3 linked regions of the Diceros bicornis minor genome follow. The protein of the gene in region 2 interacts with the protein of the main gene of each other region in a pairwise test. Links are inferred from orthologs where the notes say so. Each region holds a gene or a part of one and is shown on either strand. Other genes may lie near its edges.

What was found.
Region 1: the proteins of HABP4 (region 2) and C1QBP interact in a two-hybrid assay, tested with the Homo sapiens proteins (2 studies listed by BioGRID and IntAct). The link is inferred for Diceros bicornis minor from reciprocal best matches to the Homo sapiens genes HABP4 and C1QBP.
Region 3: the proteins of HABP4 (region 2) and RACK1 interact in a two-hybrid assay, tested with the Homo sapiens proteins (2 studies listed by BioGRID). The link is inferred for Diceros bicornis minor from reciprocal best matches to the Homo sapiens genes HABP4 and RACK1.

What each region holds. Positions count from the first base shown.
Region 1 is NC_080757.1:12,097,317-12,104,760, forward strand, and holds the start of C1QBP (complement component 1 Q subcomponent-binding protein, mitochondrial), read right to left. Parts: upstream 3,102-7,444; 5' UTR 3,063-3,101; coding exon 2,837-3,062; intron 1,543-2,836; coding exon 1,392-1,542; intron 1-1,391. Other genes in the region: ATP-dependent RNA helicase DHX33, read right to left, coding at 7,091-7,399.
Region 2 is NC_080761.1:3,916,041-3,922,949, reverse strand, and holds the start of HABP4 (intracellular hyaluronan-binding protein 4), read left to right. Parts: upstream 1-3,859; 5' UTR 3,860-3,941; coding exon 3,942-4,302; intron 4,303-6,909. UniProt on the Homo sapiens protein: Ribosome-binding protein that promotes ribosome hibernation, a process during which ribosomes are stabilized in an inactive state and preserved from proteasomal degradation.
Region 3 is NC_080740.1:94,223,880-94,230,905, forward strand, and holds the start of RACK1 (small ribosomal subunit protein RACK1), read right to left. Parts: upstream 3,028-7,026; 5' UTR 2,745-3,027; coding exon 2,636-2,744; intron 2,334-2,635; exon of another isoform or gene 2,266-2,333; intron 1,583-2,265; coding exon 1,411-1,582; intron 1,120-1,410; exon of another isoform or gene 1,041-1,119; intron 879-1,040; coding exon 731-878; intron 492-730; coding exon 396-491; intron 1-395. UniProt on the Homo sapiens protein: Scaffolding protein involved in the recruitment, assembly and/or regulation of a variety of signaling molecules. Interacts with a wide variety of proteins and plays a role in many cellular processes.

The sequences.
Region 1 (7,444 bases), on a different chromosome or scaffold from region 2:
TCTGCCCCTGGGAGGAAGAGCAGGAGGAGCACTGACAGGCTGTTGCATCAGCTGAGGACCAAGAGCAGCCCTGGCCCCACAAAGACCACCACCCTGCAGGACAGATTCATTCTTCAGTAGCTGAGGGAAGTTTTATCATCACAAAGCAGGCCAGAAACACCAACTAATGGCAACTTTTCTTTTTTTGTGTGTGAGGAAGACCAGGTCTGAGCTAACATCTATTGCCAATCCTCCTTTTTTTTCCCCCAAAGCCCCAGTAGATAGTTGTATGTCATAGTTGCACATCCTTCTAGTTGCTGTATGTGGGATGCGGCCCCAGCATGGCTGGAGAAGCGGTGCGTCGGTGCGCGCCCGGGATCCGAACCCGGGCCGCCAGTGGCGGAGCGCACGCACTTAACCGCTAAGCCACGGGGCTGGCCCCACTAATGGCAACTTTAAGGTGCAAGAATCATCTGACAACTCATGTTCCAAAATTTGAGTCGAAACTGCAGCGAGGTGAGATGTGGCACTAGCACTGCTAGGCTGTGGCACTCCAGCAGGCACTCTGCGTACACAGCACACTGTAACTGCGCTAAGTGGCTGCCTTGCCAGGAAGCCACTTCCCATCGAATAATGGTAGTTTGAGGTTTAAGCACAAAATCTGTCTAATCTGCAACAGTGCTGACCGAACTGAGCTCCTGGGCACAGAAATGCAGTTATGTTCATTAGAACATTATTTATAATGGCCCCAAACTGGCTATGACTTACCCTTGGAAAATGGTTTAGGTGAAGTTACAGCAGACAAAATTGACCCATATATGGGGAAAAACACACTGTACCACTAGGCAAAAAAGAATCAAAACCCGACTTCACAACATATACAAAAGTTCACTCAGGGCCGGCCCCATGGCTTAGCGGTTAAGTGCTCGCGCTCCGCTGCTGGCGGCCTGGGTTCGGATCCTGGGCGCGCACCAACGCACCGCTTCTCCGGCCATGCTGAAGCTGTGTCCCACATACAGAAACTAGAAGGATGTGCAGCTATGACATACAACTATCTACTGGGGCTTTGGGGGAAAAAGCAAAAAAAAAAAAAAAAGTTCACTCAAAACAGATCATAGACTTAAACAGCTGAATTAGGTCAAAAGCTCCCCTCCTTGCTAATGGCAGCTCTTATACTGTGACCCCATCCTGTTACACGTGAGTTACATATCTTGCATTTTCACCTACTGAAAACATCTGAGAGCAGGGCCTTGTTTTGCTCAGTCAGAGCCTGCAGTGTAATGAGTCAGCACTGTAAACCTGAGATCAAACTGATTCCATTAGCACTGTAAGGCTGTTCCGGGATGCCTCAGGGCAGGTCCTGCGGGGTCATGGATTTGGTCCCCTGGAGTCCGCAGGCCCCCAATACTTACTTTTCTCCAGCAACTTTCCGTACTAATTTGGCTTCTGTCCCATTTACTTCCAGCTCCCAACCTCCGGACATCTTGGGGAGGGACTTATGCTTCTGTATCTTCTTTTCCTCCTTAATTTCATCACTCAGGAATTCGACAAAAGCTTTGTCCCCTACAATGAAAAGCCATAAGACACAGAAAAAGAAGAGCCAGTCTGAAACATAAAAATAACCTGTTACTGCACCCAGAAATCTGGACTTGGACTGTTTCTAACACTTCTGCTATTAATGGTGCCTGGGAACTTAGTCCAATTCACATTCATTAAGCCTGTGTCCTCATCTGTAAAAATGCCCTAACGGCACCAGTGGGAATTCTGCAAAAGTGACTGCGAACAATGAACCATTACCACGTTTCACCAAAAGCAAGAGAATTCTCAATTACCCTGACCATGCAAAATAACTGATAACCATTCTACAGATAAGAGAGGTAGGGTGAGTTTTACTTGAGCCAGGGTGAGGATTATAATCTGGGAAGGCAGTTTCCACAAAGGAAGAAAGCATTCCAGAAAAGCATGGTTTTCAATACAATCTTAAACCGTTTTAGACCAAAGAACATACATTAAACACATCCAGGATACATATTCATCAAAATTTCAAAGAGGTATTCAGTTGCAGATTAGCAGGTCAACACGACCCTGATGGCGGGAAAGGGACTAATACAGGCGTTACTGATAGGGCGTAGGAGGGGAAGTATGCATTCTTCTCTTTTTTTTTTATAATTTTATTTATTTATTTTTCTCCCCCAAAGCCCCAGTAGATAGTTGTATGTCATAGGTGCACATCCTTCTAGTTGCTGTATGTGGGACGCGGCCTCAGCATGGCCGGAGAAGCGGTGCATCGGTGCGCACCCAGGATCCGAACCGGGGCCGCCAGTAGCGGAGCACGAGCACTTAACCACTAAGCCAGGGGGCTGGCCCAATGCATTCTTCTCTTAAGAGAGTGCATTCTTTAATGGTCAAATCAGATGTACAACGTATCTTTGATAGACCATAAATCAGGCTTCTTTAGTTCAAGCTGAATCCACTTTGAACCAGAATGGCTACCCCATATACCCCAACATGTGAAAATCCCGTCATCCTCTTTCACTTGCCAACAGACATAACTACGCTACTTTTAACCACACCCTGAGCCTTCCCAAAGTTCCACTTTCGAGAGACTAAGGATAAAGTCAGCCTTCAGATTTAACCGTATCTCTCCCCTCAAAATTAAACACTTGGAGGATCGGGGAAATGTGATCACACGTGGGTTTAACCCTCTGATTGTCAATAAATGGGAACACGTTCCGGACCTCGGGCGACGGCTCCGGCTGGTCTACCCGCGGTCTACCCTTCCCCGCCCGCGCCACGGGCCCCCACCCCATCCAAGACTCTGCCCCTCGCGGCCCCGGCCCACGTGCGCGAGACTCACCTTCCGTGTGCAGGGCGCCGCAGCCGCAGGCGCAGGGCCCGTGAGGCCGCAGGAGGCCCGGCCGCCGCTCCGACCCCGCGCGCACGCTGAGCAGCCCGAAGGGCCGGGCGCACGGCCGGGGCGCGGGCTGCAGCAGCTGCCGGAGCGCCGGGGAGAGCGCGGCGGCGCGGAGGCCGGCGATGGCGGAGCCCAGGGAGCGGGGCACGCAGCGCAGCAGAGGCAGCATCGCGCAGGCGGAGGCAGACACGTGCGGATGCGGAGGACGCCCGGGGCCAAGGCACCCCCTGACCGAGCGCGCCGCCGGAAGTCCCGCCCTCACCCGGGAAGCACTTCCGCGCCGTCGCTTTGCAGACCGAGGGCGCCGTGGGCGGGACTGCGCCCTCTGCCGGGGGGTCCTTGACTCCGGTAACTGAACTTTAGCTGAGCAGGCCCGAGCTTGGTGTCCAAGGCTGTTTAGTTTGCCAGCATCAGTTCTCTCCAGTGGCTGCTCTCCAAATTTCCATCTACTGTTCTCAAAGCACGCCAGGCTTTCTATGACTTCAATGCGCTCTTGCCGCTCCCAGCTCCCAAGACCAGCCTCCAAGGTCATCCCCCTTAAGAGGCCTTCCAGGAACCTCCTCCTCTCTTCTATGAAACAAATAAGGACTCACGCCTGTGGGACCTCGCCCCTGTGCTTCACTCTCCTCTCAGCAGAAACCTCCTGGCACCGCGAGGTTAACTGGCAGCCTCCCCTCCCCTCCACCACAAGGGAGCTCCTGAAGGGCAGGATCCCTGGTTAATTCCTGCCACTGCCCCTCTGCACCCTCCAACCTTGCACCCAAGTTCTGATGGGACGTCATTTTTCTGGAGGCAAGAAGCCATGGCTTCCATCAGATTTAGGTTAAGAACTGATGTTCCGGTCCTGCCTGGTGGCATAGTGGTTAAGTTCGTGACCTCCCCTTCATGGCTGGGGTTCGTGGGTTCAGGCGTTTGGATGCTTGAGCAGACCTACACACCACTTATCAAGCCATGCTGTGGCGGGGTCCCATATACAAAACAGAAGATTGACACAGATGTTAGCTCAGGGACAATCTTCCTCACCAAAAAAAATTAAAAAAAGAACTGATGTTCCCACCTTACCAGGACACCTAGGATATATGTTACCAAGAAAGTAAGTCATCCCAAATTAGTGGCCAAGATAAGACTAATTCTTAATATATTCTACACAGCATTCTGTGAAGAAGGGAAAGGAGACTCAAAAAGAAGCCACACATCATGTACAAGATTCATTTTTAATGGACTTGGTACTCATGTGCAAATTTGAGCATTATATACAAGAACTGATGTTTCTGTAGAGCTATGTCTGTTTTGAACAAGACCAGACTCTAAAAATACAACATAAAGCTGAACCAACTTGATTTCTTCTGCAAGTTATAATATTCTAATCAAATAAAATACAATAAAACCATCACTTCCCCACAGGTGCAGTGTTTCCTTATATGCTCAAGTAATGGTATCTTAAGATGCCTGGCCACAGTCCCAAGTACTTCCTGACAGCTGGATTAAATGGATTTATGCATCACAGTACATTATCATTGTTACCCACAGAGCAAAAACGTGTCTCCATTCTGGCATCTCCTTACAACCAGCAGAGATGCGACATTACATCGGGGTCTTGACCAAGGACCAGTGCTGGCAGTCCTGCCCCTTGTAATGAAATCTGTGCTGCTCTGGATGTTTCAGGCTCCATGACTACCAGAAGCAGAGAGCAAACACCTGAGGTGTGTGATCTGCTTGGAGCGCATCTCCTGACACGAAGCTGCGCATGGGAGCTGGTGATTTGCCCAGCGGTGGATTTCACAGGTTGAAAAAGAGGTGTCACACCATCAGAGATTTTACCAATTGAAAAAGAGTAGCTCAAGATTGTATCGCAACATCACTGTGAAACACTTAACTTCCTTAAGAAAGTTTAAAGTGTTCTGTTCCCTGCAGCTCAACAGAAATAACTTTATTTCTTTGTAGTAACAAGTGGAGTCAGAATGGATTTTCCAATCTGAATTAATCCCTGAGCAGGTATGTTAAAAATTAACTTTTTAAAAAGCCCAATAAAAAACTACTGTATTAAAACTCTACCAGAATGTTACAGTGTTAAACTTATTTCTGTACAGAAACATTAAAACTACTTAGAAGCTATTTACATTTACTTAGAAGCTATTTACCCCTTACTCAGGCAGGAAAGAATATACATTTCCAGAGACTGTTCAGGATGGACATAAATTATCCGAAGTTACATTCTACTTGCACCAGAGAACACCTCTTGATAGAGAATTTGCTGAGGAACATAATAAAGCACCCCACTCCCAATTTTGTACCAGCATGATGAATGCTTTATTAAAAATACAATAGTTCCTTTTACTAAGTCAGGCTAAAGATCCTAGGTCTCTATTAAATAAATGAGAAAAATACACTTTAAAAAATTTCTGAAAAACTTTTCAGAAAGTCAGCAACAGTAAGAATAAGTCGATCTGAGGAAGAGCCAGCTAAAAGTCTAAGAATTCAGTAAGAGAGGGTATATAGGATCTGTCGAATCCTGTTCGGCCTAAGTGTAACTATTTCTAACAGAAATAAATCACAAGTACCCAGACAGCCTTGAACACTGGCTAAAAGCTTGCCTGCTCAAGGCCACGGCTCCCGTTGGAAAGCCTGGGCCAGCCGGACGTACACAGGCCTGGACAGAGCGGACCTAGGACGGGGCAGGCCAGCAGGCTGCGGGCTCGGAGAAGAGCTCGCTGGACCCAGAGGGAAGAGACAACCCACTGTCTTCAATCTGAAGAGCCTCTGGGGCAGTCTGGTCCCCTGCTTGTCAACTGCAACATTCACTCTGTAAGTGATGACGAAAATATTGCACGTGTGTTTAGACCAATGTAGCACAAGTAAAGGGCTAAACCTTGGCTGCTTCTAGGGCAAAACATTCTCTGGGGAAATATTATTTGCTTCTGATAATCAAATAGCTAAGAAGAACTTTTGGTGTCATTTCCCTTCTCAGAATATGAGAAAAGGAGGAGACTGTGGAGACCCTCTAATTCCCTCTGACAAATGTGGAAACTGAGCCTGGAGAGGGGTGGATGGCTAGGAAGCAGCAAGGCTAGGTTGTCCCTAAGAAGAAGGACAAAAAGATCACAGAAAATAAATAAGATACACACCAGAAAATAAAGAATATATACGCCAGACGTGGCAGGTGGGGCGAGCCACTGCTGTCTGGGTTCGCAGTGACCACTGGCCGCTGTCCTCCACCCCACTCCCAATGGCCCTCTGCCCAGGGGCCCTGCCAGAAGAGAGACAGCTGAAATGTAGCACGGCGTCATTCCCTGTGCTCACATGTTTCTATGTGCCCAGTTAGAGAGAAAAATGGCAACTGGGTATGCTGGAGGCATCACACCACAAGGCCAGTTTCCCATGTCTACACTTGACACGATTCAGAAGATACAGATCACCCCACACCCAGGAAACTTCCACATCTCCTGAAAGCACAGATGGGGATATGAACCAGAGAGGCACCGAGGATGAAGAGACACAGCCCAGCGTCCTGTGAGCACTCCTTTACTGGTCTCTGAGAGGGCCACACCCTGGGGAGTGTTCACAGGGGCAGCCAGCCCATTAGGTGAGACACAACAGCATCTCCCTCCTGAAACTTCTACAGAAGTCAATCTCTTATGCTTTCTGTTTAAAAACTTCATACAGATAGATATTAAAATAGATCCAAGGACAACATCCAACTCTGCGATTTCCTATGGTCCCCTTCCAGAAAATCCCTCTCAGTCACAGGAACTCAGGCGGTTTTGTTGTACTCAACTAACACCATGGAGAAAGCGATAACATCGGGCATAAGGGCTCACAATTCATCGTATGTTTATCGCAGGCCGGGCACAGCTCTGGGTACTTTGCATTCATTTTCTGTAAACCTCATAAGTCCACCCCTGTAAGTATTATTATTACCCTCATTTGGCAGATGAGGAAACCGAGGCTCAGAAGTTAACTAAGTCACCTAAAGTCACCCAGCAATAACCGAAAGCATAATTTTGAAGTTTCCAAGGTAAAAATGGTATGTACACATTTACACAGTTCAGTCTTCAGGGTTTAAACAAAGACGCTCTCGAGCTCCTGGAAATCAGGCACATTCCGCTACATCAAAACCTGCCACCTCTCTAGGCGCCAACCTGGAAGTCAGCTATGTGGACAGCTATGGTCTCAGCTCCAGGCACCAGCAGATCCGGCTCAGTTTCTGGCGGTTCTCAGCTTCCTCCTGAAGTACTCGGGGGCAGCCTCATACAGCCACTCGGCGTCCACGACGCAGAGGTCCCGCATGTAGCACTTGTTGGTGTAGAGCAGCTCGGTGTACACAACGCAGGCTGGCTTGCAGTGGAAGAGGACAGACGAGGGGTGGATGGCCACCGGCTGGTGGGTGTCCGTGGTGGCATAGGACCCGTCCGGCTGAAGCTCGGCGGTGCTCATGAAGAGGCTGTGAGCCAGGCAGCGGCGGACGCTCTCCGTGTCTCCGCGGGATGATGTGATTGGCATCGACATCTGTTTCAGGGGGAAGCGAGAAATGGAAGAGCCCAAACATTACTG
Region 2 (6,909 bases):
GTGTGTGGGGTTTTTGTCTGTTTGGTATTATAATTACTAAAGATAGTTTTTATGTCTTGAATTATTAGAAAGATCAGTCTATTACACTGACCACATTAAGCGCAATGTCGCAAATAACTCATGCTAATGTGGTGGAGTGTATTTTAGGAATGCATTTAGGGATGCAATCTCCCAGCAGAAAAATGGTCATGGAAAAATGTGAGGCTGCTTCATAAGTTACCATCAGTAAATTCTACAGTAAACAATAGCCCCATAAAAAACACACAGCCAGCTAATATCAGTTAGAAGCTACTCATCTCTATTTCTTTTTTTTTTTTTTTGTGAGGAAGATCAGCCCTGAGCTAACATCCATGCTAATCCTCCTCTTTTTGTTGAGGAAGACCGGCCCTGAGCTAACATCTACTGCCAATCCTCCTCCTTTTTTTCCCCCCAAAGCCCCAGTAGGTAATTGTATGTCATAGTTGCACATCCTTCTAGTTGCTGTATGTGGGACGTGGCCTCAGCATGGCCGGAGAAGCGGTGCGTCAGTGTGAGCCTGGGATCCGGGCCTGGGCCGCCAGTAGCGGAGTGCACGCACTTAACCGCTAAGCCACGGGGCCGGCCCTACTCATCTCTATTTCAACAGTTCTAAAGGTGTTCTTAATCTTGAAGCAACTAGAGTTGGTTGCTTTACAACTGTTTTAGGCAGTTATGATTTGGATATCAGGAGGGAGTGCCTGCAGCGCATGCCTTAAGAACTTGCTGTGGCTGGCTATGTTGGAAAGGAAACTGGAGGAAAATGGGGGAGCAGGCTATCTCCAGATGTCCAGGAGGAACATGACAGGCCCTTCTCTCAAGTGGTAATGGTCTTTGTGTTGTGGCTTAGTGACGGCAGCTTAAAGATGCCAGAGACAACTCTGGCTTGAAGCAGGGCTTCTCAAGGTATGGTATCTGGTGCATGGGGTGATTCTGGTGTGTGAAGAATCTCTGGAAATTTCATTCACCTCATAATTATGAGACCTTGTTATGACTCTACCTAGTCTTAAGCCTGATTCAAAATGATGGTGTTGATACTAATAATGTTGATAATGACTTTTACTGAGGATTTACTCTGTGCCAGGCTTGGTGCTGAACAGTTCATATGCAATATCTGACCCAGTCCTTACAACAGCCCTCTGAAGTACATACCATTATTTTCTCCATTTTACAGATGAGAAAACTGACAGACAGAAATAAGGAACATGTCCAAGGTCATAAAGTTAATTACTCGCAGAGCCAGGATTCAAATCATGGTCTAATTCCAAAATATATGCTTTTTAAAAAAATTATGGTAAAATACACATTTACTATTTTAACCATTTTAAAGTGTACAATTCAGTGGTATTTAGTATATTCACATTTTGTGCAACCATCACCACTATCTAGTTCCAGAAAATTTTCATTACCCCAAAAGGCAACTTTATGCCCATTAAGCAGTCACTCATCATTCCCTTCACCCAGAACCCTTGGCAACCACTATTCTGCTTTCTGTCTCTATGGATTTGCCTATTCTGGATATTTCAAATGAATGGAATCATATGAATGCCTTCTTTCTCTTAGCATAATGTTTTTAAGGTTGCAGCATGTATCATTTCATTCCTTTTTGTAGCCAAATATTAATCCATTGTACCAATTTGCTATCCATTCATCAGTTGATGTACATTTGGGTTGTTTCCACCTTTTGGTTATAGTGAGTAGTGCTGCTATGAACATTCAAGTACAAGTTTTTGTTTGAACACCTGCTCTCAATTCTTTTGGGTATAAAATATAGGCTTTTTATCATAAACCTCTGCTGACTCCAAGAAGGAGATGACCAAATATCTTAAAGTGTTCAGTAATTCAACAAATACTTAGTGAGAACTTACTGTACAGCTACCTAGAACGCTAAGCACTGGGAACATAAATTGCAATGAATAAGACAGGCCTCCTCCCTGTCCTCCTTGGGAATGACAGAAAATTGAACAAGTGAGTAAAACACAGACCTGGCAGCAGTTAGGATTAAGGGTTCCTTTTCCATTTGCTATTAAAAGAAAGTAAAAGCTGGTAATGACAGACCTGAGCAAGACGCTCTAACAGGATGCTTTTAGAAGCAAGAAGCAAGCACAACTAAGAGTAGCTTAGACAATGGTGGCATCTATTGTCTTACGTAACAATAAGTCTGAGGTAGGGAAGTTCCTGAGTGGGATGTCAGCAGCTCAGCAACATCGGGGAACGAGGAACGAGGCTTCTCCATCCTTCCGCTCCGCCATCCTCATAGTCACAATCAGGGACAGCAGCTCTAGGCGTCATGGCCTCCATACATAACAAAGACCAAAGACGAGAAGTGGGAAGATGGCAGATCCCTTCCCAATCCCTTTTTAGGTATAAGAAAAATGTTCCTAGAAATCCCCCAGAATACTTCCCATCAGGTCTGTTCTGCCAGATTTGCACCACAAGCCTATTCCTACACTCATCATTGGCAACGGAATGGAATTACAATGCATGATTTAAGATTAATCAAGTTTGAGGCTGGAAGTGGGCCCAGGTTCCCTTGGGGCATACAGCCACCTGATGCCCTAACAAAATACAGGTTCCGGGAAAATGTAAGAGGGAAAGAAAGGGCTGCAGGATAGGCAGCCAAGGTCTAGGCAAGATATCCCGGAGGAAGTCCAGTTCAGTGTTCTCTGAGCTCCAGGCGTCAATTGAATATCTCAAAAGAAAAAAAACAAAACAAAACAAAACCCAAACCTCAACATGTCCAAGACTGAACTCATGATTCTCATCAAAATGGTCTCTTTTAGTGCTGTTTCTTTGTGAATAGCACCACCATCCCAGCTGCACGAGTCAGAAAAACAGGAGTCATCACACCTTTCTTCTTCCTCATCACCCATATCTAGTGCATCACCAAGTCCTGTTGATATAACCTCTAAAATAGCTCTTGAAGCTACCACTCTCTTCACCTCCACTGCACCAGCCTAGTCCAAGGCACCATCATCAGCTCTTCCCTGGAGCTCTGCAAGTCTTCGGTCCGGTCTCGCTGCGCTCCCTTTGACCTCCCTCCAACCTAGTCCTTCACATAGCAGCTATGTGGCCTTTTCAAACACATGCTCATGCCTAAAAGTTGTTTCCCACTGCTCCTAGAACAATGACCAATCAAGGCCCTCTCCCAACTCTTTGCAATACAGTTCACTGGTTTTCTTTGAGCTTGAATGGGTTGCGCTCCATCCCACCTGAAACTTCTGCACTTGCCCTTGCTCCTGCGCTCGCCTTCCTTCAGATCTCAGCCTAACCGTCACTTCCTAGGGAAAACCTTTCCAAGCTTGCTAATTAGGTCGGGTCCCTTTGCTACAGGCTGGAAGAGAGGTCTATGCCTTTCCTTCAGGGCACTTTTCTGTCTACAGACTTAAGATCCATAAAAACACGGAGCTATTATCTTCTACAACGTAACGCCTGGCACATAGTAAATGTTCAATACACAGTTGTTGAATAGCTAAACGAATATATGTACTTAAAAGCGGAGTGGCCGATAACGAATGCGGAGCCAGTCCTAAAGAGAACACAAATAATGGCCGTGACCCATGCACCTCGGAGCTGCCTGGACCACAAGACTCGTTGCTCCTCCCAGTAGCTCCGCCCCGTGGGCCCCGCCCCTCCCTGCTGAGACGGGGGAGGGGCATAGGGGTCGCGCGACGTGACAGCAGCCGGCCGCTGATTGGGCTTCCAGTTGTGCCGGCTAGGAAAGGGGGCGTGTCCGCGCGCGCTGATTGGCTATCTGGCGGCGGCTGGGCGGGCGGTGGCGGCGGCGCGGGGGCGGGCCCTGGGAGGGACCTGACCAGGCAGGGCAGGGAGGGCGGCCGCAGCGGGCGGGATGGGTCGTCGCCGCCGGCTTCGCTGAGACTCGCTCGCGTGGGCTGCTCCGGCGGGCCCGCAGTGGTCGCGGCGGCATGAAAGGCGCTCTAGGGAGCCCCGTGGCTGCGGCCGCCGCAGGCGCTGCGATGCAGGAGAGTTTCGGCTGCGTCGTGGCCAACCGCTTCCACCAGCTGCTAGACGACGAGTCGGACCCGTTCGACATCCTACGCGAGGCCGAGCGCCGGCGCCAGCAGCAGCTGCAGCGCAAGAGGCGCGACGAGGCGGCGGCGGCGGCGGCCGGGGCCGGCAACCGCGGCGGCAGGAGCCCGGCCGGGGCCTCGGGCCACAGAGCCGGCGCGGGCGGCGGCCGCAGGGAGTCCCAGAAGGAGCGCAAGAGCCTCCCGGCCCCCGGCGCGCAGCAGCCCGACAGCACCGGGGCCGGCCCGCAGCCGCCCGGTACGCCCCCGGGGGTGCACGGTGGGCAGGAGAGGACGGAGAACGGGGTCACAGAGGTCACCCTCAGCCGCCCACGACCCCACTGGGAGACTGGGATCGCTGGAACCTGCTGCAGAGAGCGGAGGGGGCTCGGGGAGCAGTTGGTTGAGTTGAGGGTCCTTGTGGCTGAGAAAAGAGACGGGGATGGGGGGGTGGCACGCCCATTCTGGCCTCTCACGGTCCCTTCTGGGGGTTGGGGGAGTGCAGGCTTGGGCTGGGGGTCTCAGAGCCCCGAAACTGAGCCTTTCCAAGTTGGGCAAAGTTGAGGGATATTGCTGGGGTGCCGTGTGGGGGCTAAAAGTGAGGTCGCTATCCCAGGGCTCTCAAATCTAGAGCCAGCAGGGACTTTCTCCTCCTGCAGCCCAAGCTCTGCAAGATTCGGGTTGGGAGGTAGGAGAACCGTGGTGGGGGGGAGCGCCTCCGGCCCCTGGGTGCGGCGAGAGCAGGGGTTTGCGGCCCGGGGCCGAGGGTCGAGCCTCTGTGATGGAGGGAAGGCCTGGTGACCGCGGGGGGCCTGTGACGTCAGGGCCGTGAGCGGAATGCGGCGGGTGGACGCGGGTGCTGGCGCCTTCCGAGCCGTGCCTGCACCCGGCCCCTTACGGCTTCCAGCAGTCAGCCGGCATCGTGTTGCATCACTGCACGTAGTGTTGATGGGATGTGTGAGTTGTCGGTGACTCAGGCTGCTTTAAGAAAAACGTTTTAACCTTTCCGACAGGCATATTCTAAGTTCCCCCTCCCTGCTTAGCCAGAAGCTCCAGTGCGAAGCTTGGTGTACTACTGTCTATCTGGGGAGGGAGGGTGTGCGAGTCGTTTCTCACCTGAACTGCAACAGTGGCATAGTCAGCAAGACTCCACCCGTGTTTCCCTTTTTCCTAAAATTAGGCAGTGGTCCTAAGGTTTGACTATATAGTTCGACTGCTTCAGCCAATGTTCGGCGGTGTAGTCAGCTCGTCTTTACTGGCTTGCTCTTTGCTTGATAGAAACTGTGCATCCCAGCCGTGAGAGAACAACTCCTGAGTTAAGTGTTGGGCTTTGACTCCTACACCTAGGTAACGTTGACTTTTATCTGTGGAAAGGTCAGTGCAGCAATATTGCTTGAGAATCAGCAAGTCAAGTCACTGTAATAAAGATGTTGAAAATTATTTAAAATGCTTTTGGATATCTGAAGACCTCTTGGTAGGCCAGTAAGTTTATGAGCCTATTTAAACAGTGATAGAAACTTGAGATATAATGTACATTTTTTGTATTCCATTTTTTCTCATAAATCTATTTAGATAAATATCACAATAATGAAAGAATTGAAGAAAGCTAAGCTTTTTCTCTCCCTTTATTTTTTTAACAAATGCAAGTAAATATTTTATCCTTTAGAATAGTGTGAAACTGCATTTGGTGCTAATATATCACTTTTTAACCTTTTGAAAATTTAAAATGTCATGCATTTTTGTTATAAGATTTTAAATAATTGAGAAACGTATGAAAGTGAAAATCCCGTATTTTTCCTACTGTTAACACCTTGCATTTATATACATAAATGCACAAAGCTATTTTTTCCTAAAATGATACAAACTGAGTTGCAACCTGCTTCTTTCACTTAGCGTTGTAGTCTAGTTTAAAACTTTTTTTCAGTCAATTGTTTGTGATCCAGGTGGTCTGGCTTTTGAGATCTGTATTAAAGATCTTTAGTTAATTTTGTAGTTAAAATGGAAATCTTGTCATTCTGGTTCTTTTTCAAGTGTGTTCTTTCAGAAGCAAACAGCTCATAATTTCCATTTATGTAGTTATTGTACTAAATTTATCTGTAATGGGTGTTAGAGAGCTACTCTCTCGAGGTTTGTTGCCCTAATTGTATTGGACTGTGCTTTTCTAACACTCAAAATTTTTAATTTAGTTAGAATATTATAAGTGAATGCTTAGTGCAGATAAGAATCAAAGGCAAAACATGTTTCACATATAATAGAAACATTTATTAATCTCAAAAGGATGTGGAAATCATAAGATTTTCCCGTGGAAATGGAGATTTTTTTAATGTCCTTAACTATTTGACAGTGTACGTAGACCCTCGGGTGAGCTTTGCTCCATAAATTCCTCCTGAAGTCCTCAGGGACTCTTCAGCTTTGCTGTCTCTAGCCTTTCAGGACTGTTGTCCTTGGTCAAAGCTCAACTTTATTTTGTAGGAACTGTCACTGTGTATTTTACTGTATTCTGTCTCTTCATATGGGTTTGGGTTTAGGTCAGTGATCAGACTGCTTGTGCCAGCCTTTATTGGAAAGGGCCGGTGAAATTCAGTTTTTGCCCTCTCCTCTTGGAGCTGCTGATCCAGCACAGAAAAACTAGGTTCGGCTGCAGTCTTGATCTCTTAGTGCTCAATTGTGGGAAAAAACCGGACCCCTGTTATCTTTGTCTTTTTGGTTTTAGGAGAATGAAGTGTTTGCAGGGTATTGATAATTATTCTAATAAGTAGCCAATCATATTTAATGGTTTTCAAGTTATACACAGAAACTTTGGAAGAAGCTTTAATATAAATTATACAGTAAATGTCATTTTAAGGTTTGAATGGTGAATTCCAAA
Region 3 (7,026 bases), on a different chromosome or scaffold from region 2:
AGTGGGGGGGTCATAGGTAAAGAACCTGGCTCTGAATCAGCCAGGGTCAGGAGGGCTCAAGCCAAACAAAAAAAGGCACAGGCATCTTGTTTAAAAGCATTCCTGAATAGGGTAGCCGTTTTTCTTTCCATCACTAACAAAAAAGGTTAAAGAATTTGTCTAGGCCACAGGAAAGCAATTAGGATTAAAACAGGTAACAAATGCTATGTGTGCTGCCTTTCAATTAGCTACTTCAGACCAAATATCAAAAACTGATGGGCTGTACTGAGAAAATAGCAAAAGGAAAAATGTCAATCGCGGCACAAAGCTTTCAAAGTTGGAGGCTATGACCACCTGGGAAGAAGCAGGTACATATGCTGGCTGGTAAAGTCCCTACACCCCTGCTCCAAGCTCACCTTGACTAGCTTGTCCCAGCCACAGGAGACAATGATGGGATTGCTGCTGTTGGGTGAGAAGCGGACGCAAGACACCCACTCCGAGTGGCTCTCATCCTACAGAGAATGGAAAGGAAATAAGGCAAAACTGTCTTGTCCCATAAAACTCTAGACCCCCACCCCTCCCCTCAGTTACATGGGATACATGTTGATAGCCTTGCATTCACATCCCAAGAACCCAAACCTTTAAGATCAACAGACCCCTTTTAGATTCCAGATGAGGCTTGAATCACCAGATACAGCCAAGGTTAAGAAGGATGGGAGAAAACCTTCAACAACATGTGCCTTCACTTTACCTGGACAGTGTATTTGCATACACCCAGAGTATTCCATAGCTTGATGGTTTTATCACGGGAGCCAGAGACAATCTGCCGGTTGTCAGAGGAGAAGGCCACACTCAGCACATCCTTGGTATGTCCCACAAATCGGCGTGTGGTGGTGCCCCTGAGAGGGAAGACTTGGTCACTCTCTCGACTTTGCAAACATTCTTCCACAGTCAGACTATTTCCCTGGGGACCTTGTTCCTGTCCTAGTGGAGCTGCATTACTCACACAACCCTGGTCATGGCTCTGATCACAGCAGGTGGTTGGCTGAGATATGTCAGAGAATCCCTTCAGAATTGCAGGACATGTCCTCATTCCCACGTGGGGATTGGCTGACAATGTCGTCTGTCATCACTGGGATCCTCTATTATGCCTGACCATCCCAAGACTGAGCTCCCAAAATAAAACATGTTCAAACTGTCGCCTACTCCCAACTGCAATATCTGACAAAACTGCTCACCAGACCACTCCTCAACAATTCTGCATCACTCATTAAGAGCAACGAGAAGGAAAACCAAACAACGCCAACCATCTCTAGGTGCTCTTTGCCTTACAGTGCCCTCAACGGACCTAATCGCCCCTGGGAAACCACTTCCCAACAGTATCTACCTCTTTTCTGCCCAGGCCCCAGAGCTAAGTGAGCAGCTACTTGCGTTGTGAGATCCCAGAGGCGAAGGGTTCCATCCCAGGAGCCTGAGAGGGCAAACTGGCCATCTGAAGAGATGACCACATCACTAACAAAGTGGGAGTGACCCCGAAGAGCACGCTGTGGGATGCCGTAGTTGGTCTCATCCCGGGTCAGCTTCCACATGATGATGGTCTTGTCTAAGAAAAGGTAAAACAAAAAAGGAAATCCAGTTACAAACCTCGACACTCACTTGCTGACCTACAGGACAACCCAAGATGCCTCAAGGTCACTGAGACTTACAAAACGACAAATTAAGGACACTTAAGTGGGGAGGGTAACTGCAGGCTATAAAAGTGGTTACTTGTCAAATCCAAGTGACTCACTATTCAAGAATAAACAGCCAAATAGACCTAAGCAGTACCACGAGAATTTAACTGAAGTGAGCAGAACTTTATTAAAGACCATGGATTCCCCTTTCCGATATTCAGACCACTTCAACATCTACTTCGAGACTTACCTGAGGTCTAATGCACAAACAGAGCAGCCTGGCTGTGGGAAGACGAACTATGGGCGACTACTGCTAAGGGCTACCAGAGTGCTGAAATTAGGAAAACTTGCTTTATACGCTACAGGATCGGATGCTTTCACTGACATGTGTAGCACTCAGGGAGCTTTTAAGTACAAGACATGATCCTAGCCTCAGACAAGCGTCAACAGTGTGGGCACAAACGGAAGGCACAAGAAGCCTCCAAACGCAGTCACGCACACGGAGAAGGAAAAAAAACAGGGCAGAAAGGGCAGGCGCGGGGCAGCCGGGAAACTGAAGTCATGAGGTCCCCTTGGAGTCCACCCACTTCCCACCCAGCAGAGGTCCGGGCGGCAGCTCAGAAACAGCCTCTGGGTCTCAGCATGGGCTCTCAGATGGCATGTTGGGTTCATCACTGCCCCGCCCGATCGGTAGGTTTCTGGGCACACACTTAGCCACACCTGCACGGAGGCGGGCAAGAAATAAGAGAAAAACACCCAACCCCGCAACTCCCTGGCAGCTAAGAGCTGATCTATGTCTCGGTAGCTGCTAAGCGGGGATGCCTTAGGGATTTATCTTGGCTGAGGCCTAGGCAAAGATCTGCATGGCCCAACTCACACCCGGACGGAGTTTTCCGGGCAGCCAACTCGCGCGCCACTGGCCTAGCCCGCAGTGCATGCAACCCCCTTCTCCCCCAATCCTCTGCCCCACACCTCAGCCATACCTCGCGAGGCCGACAGTATCATGTCTGGGAACTGGGGAGTGGTAGCGATCTGGGTCACCCAGCCGTTGTGGCCCTTGAGGGTGCCACGAAGGGTCATCTGTTCAGTCATGGCGGTGGCGGGTGCGAGTGTCGCCGCAGCGACGAGGATGGAACCGGATAGCTCAGAGACACGACCACTACAGCCACTCGCGCTGCCGCCCCGCCGAGGAAAAGAGAGAACAACCTACGCCGGAACCGGATATACCCGCCTTCTCGAACAAAATGGCGACCGCTGTGCGTCACTCCTGCTCAAGATGGCGGTGCCATGTAGCCCATAGGACTGGGTGAAATAACAGGACCTCATGGTCCCCTCCGCCACGCAACATAACTTGGCAGCGCCGTACAAATACGTTCTGAAATCAACACGACCGAGTCCTTAAAAAGGATCCTCAGGTGTCGACTGAGGCGTGACGTCTGAGCCGAAGAATAGGGGAGGCGCGCGGCGCGTTCCCAGAAGGCTCGCCCGGCCGCCTGACGGCTCCTACGTGGCGCAGCGCGAGCCCCGCCTCTCCGCTCGGCGGCTGGGGGCGCCACGGAGAGGGAGCCTAAAGCCGAGGTCGCAACTCTGAGTGATGGTGGGCGATGTGAGAAAAACGGTACTAAACTTTTTAAATAAACGGTGCTCGGGTGAACTATTAAACCCTAACAGATTTCCATGCGCAGAAGGCTGCTCTTCCCTCAAGAGGTTTGTGCCCTGATGGTATTGGCCGAGGCACTCCGGGTCCGGAGGGACTTAATGCAAAGCCAGACTAAGGCGAGAGTGAGGTATGGAGCGGAAAGCCGGCGGCGAACGAAAGAAAAGTCGGTCTGTGGGCCGCGGGACGGCCACCCCGCCCCGCCTAGGCTGCGCGGAGAGCCCCCGCAGGAACGGAACGGCCCGGGAGGACGCACCTCCGGGTTCGACCCCTGGGGCCTAATCACCCTCCAGGGTGGCCCGCGGCCCGGGGGGCCAAGCGTGCCCTGAAGGAGGCGCGCGCACAGGGAGGCAGTGGAACGTGGGTCCCTGGCTGCCTGCCGGCCTCACGTTCCGCCGCACGGCGCGTGAATCTGTGGAGCCTCCCGCTCCCGCACATCCCCTGACTAGGAGAGACTGCTGGGAGCGCCCCTCTCAGATATTTTTTCAAGGCGGGGCAGCACAGATCTGGATGATAGCCGCCGCTATCGTCTGTGCAAAATAAAGGGCGGATTGTACATAGTATTTTGTTTTCTCTTTGGAGGATGTATTAGCCTTAGTTTCTCACCTGTGAAATGAGATTGGAAATACTGGTACCTACCTCACGTGGTGTTGTGGAGAGTAACTGAGTTAAGAGAAAGTTAAGGTAAAGCACCCAGAACAACGCCTGGCAGAATAAATGCACGCAGCTTACTTAGTGAGCACCTCTTGGGTTCCAGGCCCTGTTTTAGGTCTTGAGGATACAACTGTGAACAAGACAGATGAGACCTTTTTTTTTTTGGAGTTTACATTCGGTGGGGTGGGGGAGGGCAAGGTGACGGGGCGATCGGAGCAAAGACTCGAAGAAGGTGTGAGGGGGTGGGAGGCAGTTGACAAAGGGCCTCGTAGGCTTGGGGAAGGACCTCGGCTCCTCAGGGCGCTGTCCTGGCTGTGCTCCTCCATAGCCTGATGACTCCTCCATCGCTTGCCTCTTTGGCACCCCCAACTCGCTGTCCTTTAGCTTTTCCAACACTGAACTCGACCCGACCCACATGTTTTGCTTCTCCTGTGGTCGTGGGGACCCCTCCCTTCACTCACCGCAATATCAAGCTCGCTGTCCACGATTCTGGTCGTGCCTGCGCCTTCCTTGGCGCTCGGCACAAATGGAGACGTGAGCGACTCCACGCGTGCCTGTACACGCAGAGGATTTCCTCGGCCCTTAAGAGCACTCGCTCCTTCACCTCCTACCTCCTCTCCCCAAAGACATCATCATTCAGTCACATTATTACAGTTTTCCCGCCTCGAAAATCCGGCTCTCTGTTTCTTGAACATTGCCCAGGGAGCTCCTGTGGAATCAGCATCCGTGAGGTACAGCCTCCAGGTCCCTCACGAATGCTCCAGGATGGGACCTTTGCACCGCTGACCCCTTTCCAGAAGCCGGCAGGTCCCATGCGAGCCCCGCCCCCTGGTTCCCCCTGCCCACCTCTTCCCGGCCCCTCCCGGAGTTCTCCCCGCCCCGCCTCCCGAGACCCAGGCCGCGGAAGGTGCCCTTCGCTTCGCGCGGGTCAGTGGGTCCCTTCCCACGACCGTCCGTGACTCTATAAGACGATTCTGGCAGTGCCCTCCCCATCCCCCCGCCTCTTTAGAGCCGAAAGGGGAATTCGGCTGTTGCGCTGGAGCCCACGAGGACCGCGATGGCGATGCCAGCAGAGGAGAGGGAGAAATGGAATGTGGTGGACTTCCCCGACGACCAGACCCGACCAGACCCTGCCGGCTTCAGGCTTTCCACCTCGGAGTTTTCTTCCAACCACCCCCGGCCTCTCCTGTCTTGGTGGGGATGCTGGTGAGCCACAATGCCACTGAAGGACAGTCCTGAGCCGAGGGAGGTGCCGCCCCGACCCTGAGGACCACATCGGCTGCAGCGAGGGGCGGGGACGGGCGTGCATCAGCCGCCTTTCCCTCTCAGCCCCAGCTGGACTTTAGCCCTATCCACACCTGCTTCCCTCAGGGGCCCCGCGGCTCCCTCCAGGCATACAGGCCCCCACCTGGCCAGGGTCAGGGTCCCACCTGGACGCCTCACTCCTTCCGGGGAGGGCTCTCGGTCAGCAAAGGGAGCCCGACCCCTTCTAGCGGGGTGACATCTCTAAGCTGTGGGATGCGTCTGAGAATCAGCCGCGCGCCTCCCACAACAAAGTCTACTACCTGTGCTGGCTGGGTTGAGCCTTTGGGCTTCTTCTCACCTAGGGCGTCTCTTCTCCAACCTCACAGAGGTGGAAGCCTGCTGGTGGCCCCCACCCAGCCTTTGGGGAAGACTCTTCGCAGAGCTTCTCCCAGCTCCTTCCTCCCCTCCATGCCCTGTGGGCAGAACCTGTCCTAGCTGGGCTCTCCACTCCGGCCCCGCCCACCACTCCTGGCCCAGAGTTCACCTGCATCTTACCCACTTTTCCTCTGAGCCCCTGAGCTGCCCCTCTCTCCCCTCACCCCACGCGCCCCATTTCCATTCCATACAAGGTAAGAATCCCAAGGAAGAAATTGGAGAGGCTTTTCTAAGGAAGTCCGTCTCACCATTCCTCTTGTGGAGGGAGCCCACAAGGACCTGCACAGCTGGAAAGAGCCTTTTGGGTTTCCCTGCCAGAGCCTTATGACCTCTTCTCCAGGAGCAGAAGCCTCCATCTCCTATTACCAGCATTTAGGAGGTGAGACAGGTCTTCCCTTGAATGCTGAGGTGAGGGCTGTTGTAGGTGGTGGTGGAGGGGCTGGGGAAAAGGTGTGTGGCCAGGACCAGAGAGCCTGCTGACTGCCAGCTCAGGGCTGGGTGACTTCCCTTTGTTTTACTGCCCTGATGCAGATTCAGTGTGGTTAGCTCTGGCATGCTCCATACTGTGTTTTGTGGCTACACAGGCCCTCCCCTGCTCCTCCAATTCATCAGTTCTCTCCCACACAGCACTACACACTGTTTTTCTGCCTGGAAGGCCCACCATATCCCACCCTCCTTTTCTTAGTTAAATCTAAGCTTCCTTCTGGTGTCAGCACAGGTTGCCAAGTCAGGGAAGCCCTCTGTGACCCTCAGGTGTAGGTCAGGCTCCTTTGTTTCAAGCTCTCCTAGCAGTGGTGCAGCGTGTGCTGGGCCTTCACAGCATTTAGCTCAATTGGTCATCATTTGAATCCCTCAGGGCTCTCCTCTGAGTGCCCTAAGGATGGGGACTAATCAGTTTCTGCTCACAGGTTGCATTCCCAGCACCTGGTAGATGGTTTGGCTTGTGGAAGATTCTAATCTTGGTGGCCAGCCTCACAGGCTGAGTAGTTAAGGGCAAGTAGTTAAAGGGAGGGCGTTCCAGGCAGAGAGATCAGCATGGGAAGAGGTATACAAGTGGTTTGTGTGCCCAGGTTTGGGAGGGATGGTTTCAAGAAGGAAGGTAAGAGTGAAACCCAAGGTGGGCAGGGAGCCCTAGTCTCAAGGAATTGACTGCTAAGGAATCTGGATTTTGTCCTGAAGCCTAGGGCCTCCCTTTAGGATTATCTCAGCCTTCTCCTGCCTATACTTGATTTTGCTGAAAGACATTTATTGTCAGTGTGGAAGCTAGGTTGCAGGAGTAAGACTAGAAGCAGGAAGAGTTCAGAAGCTGGGCAGGAGGGTTCCTAGGAGGGTCATGAAAGTCCTATGAAGGGAGGGACTAAGGATATACCAATGGCCTTATGA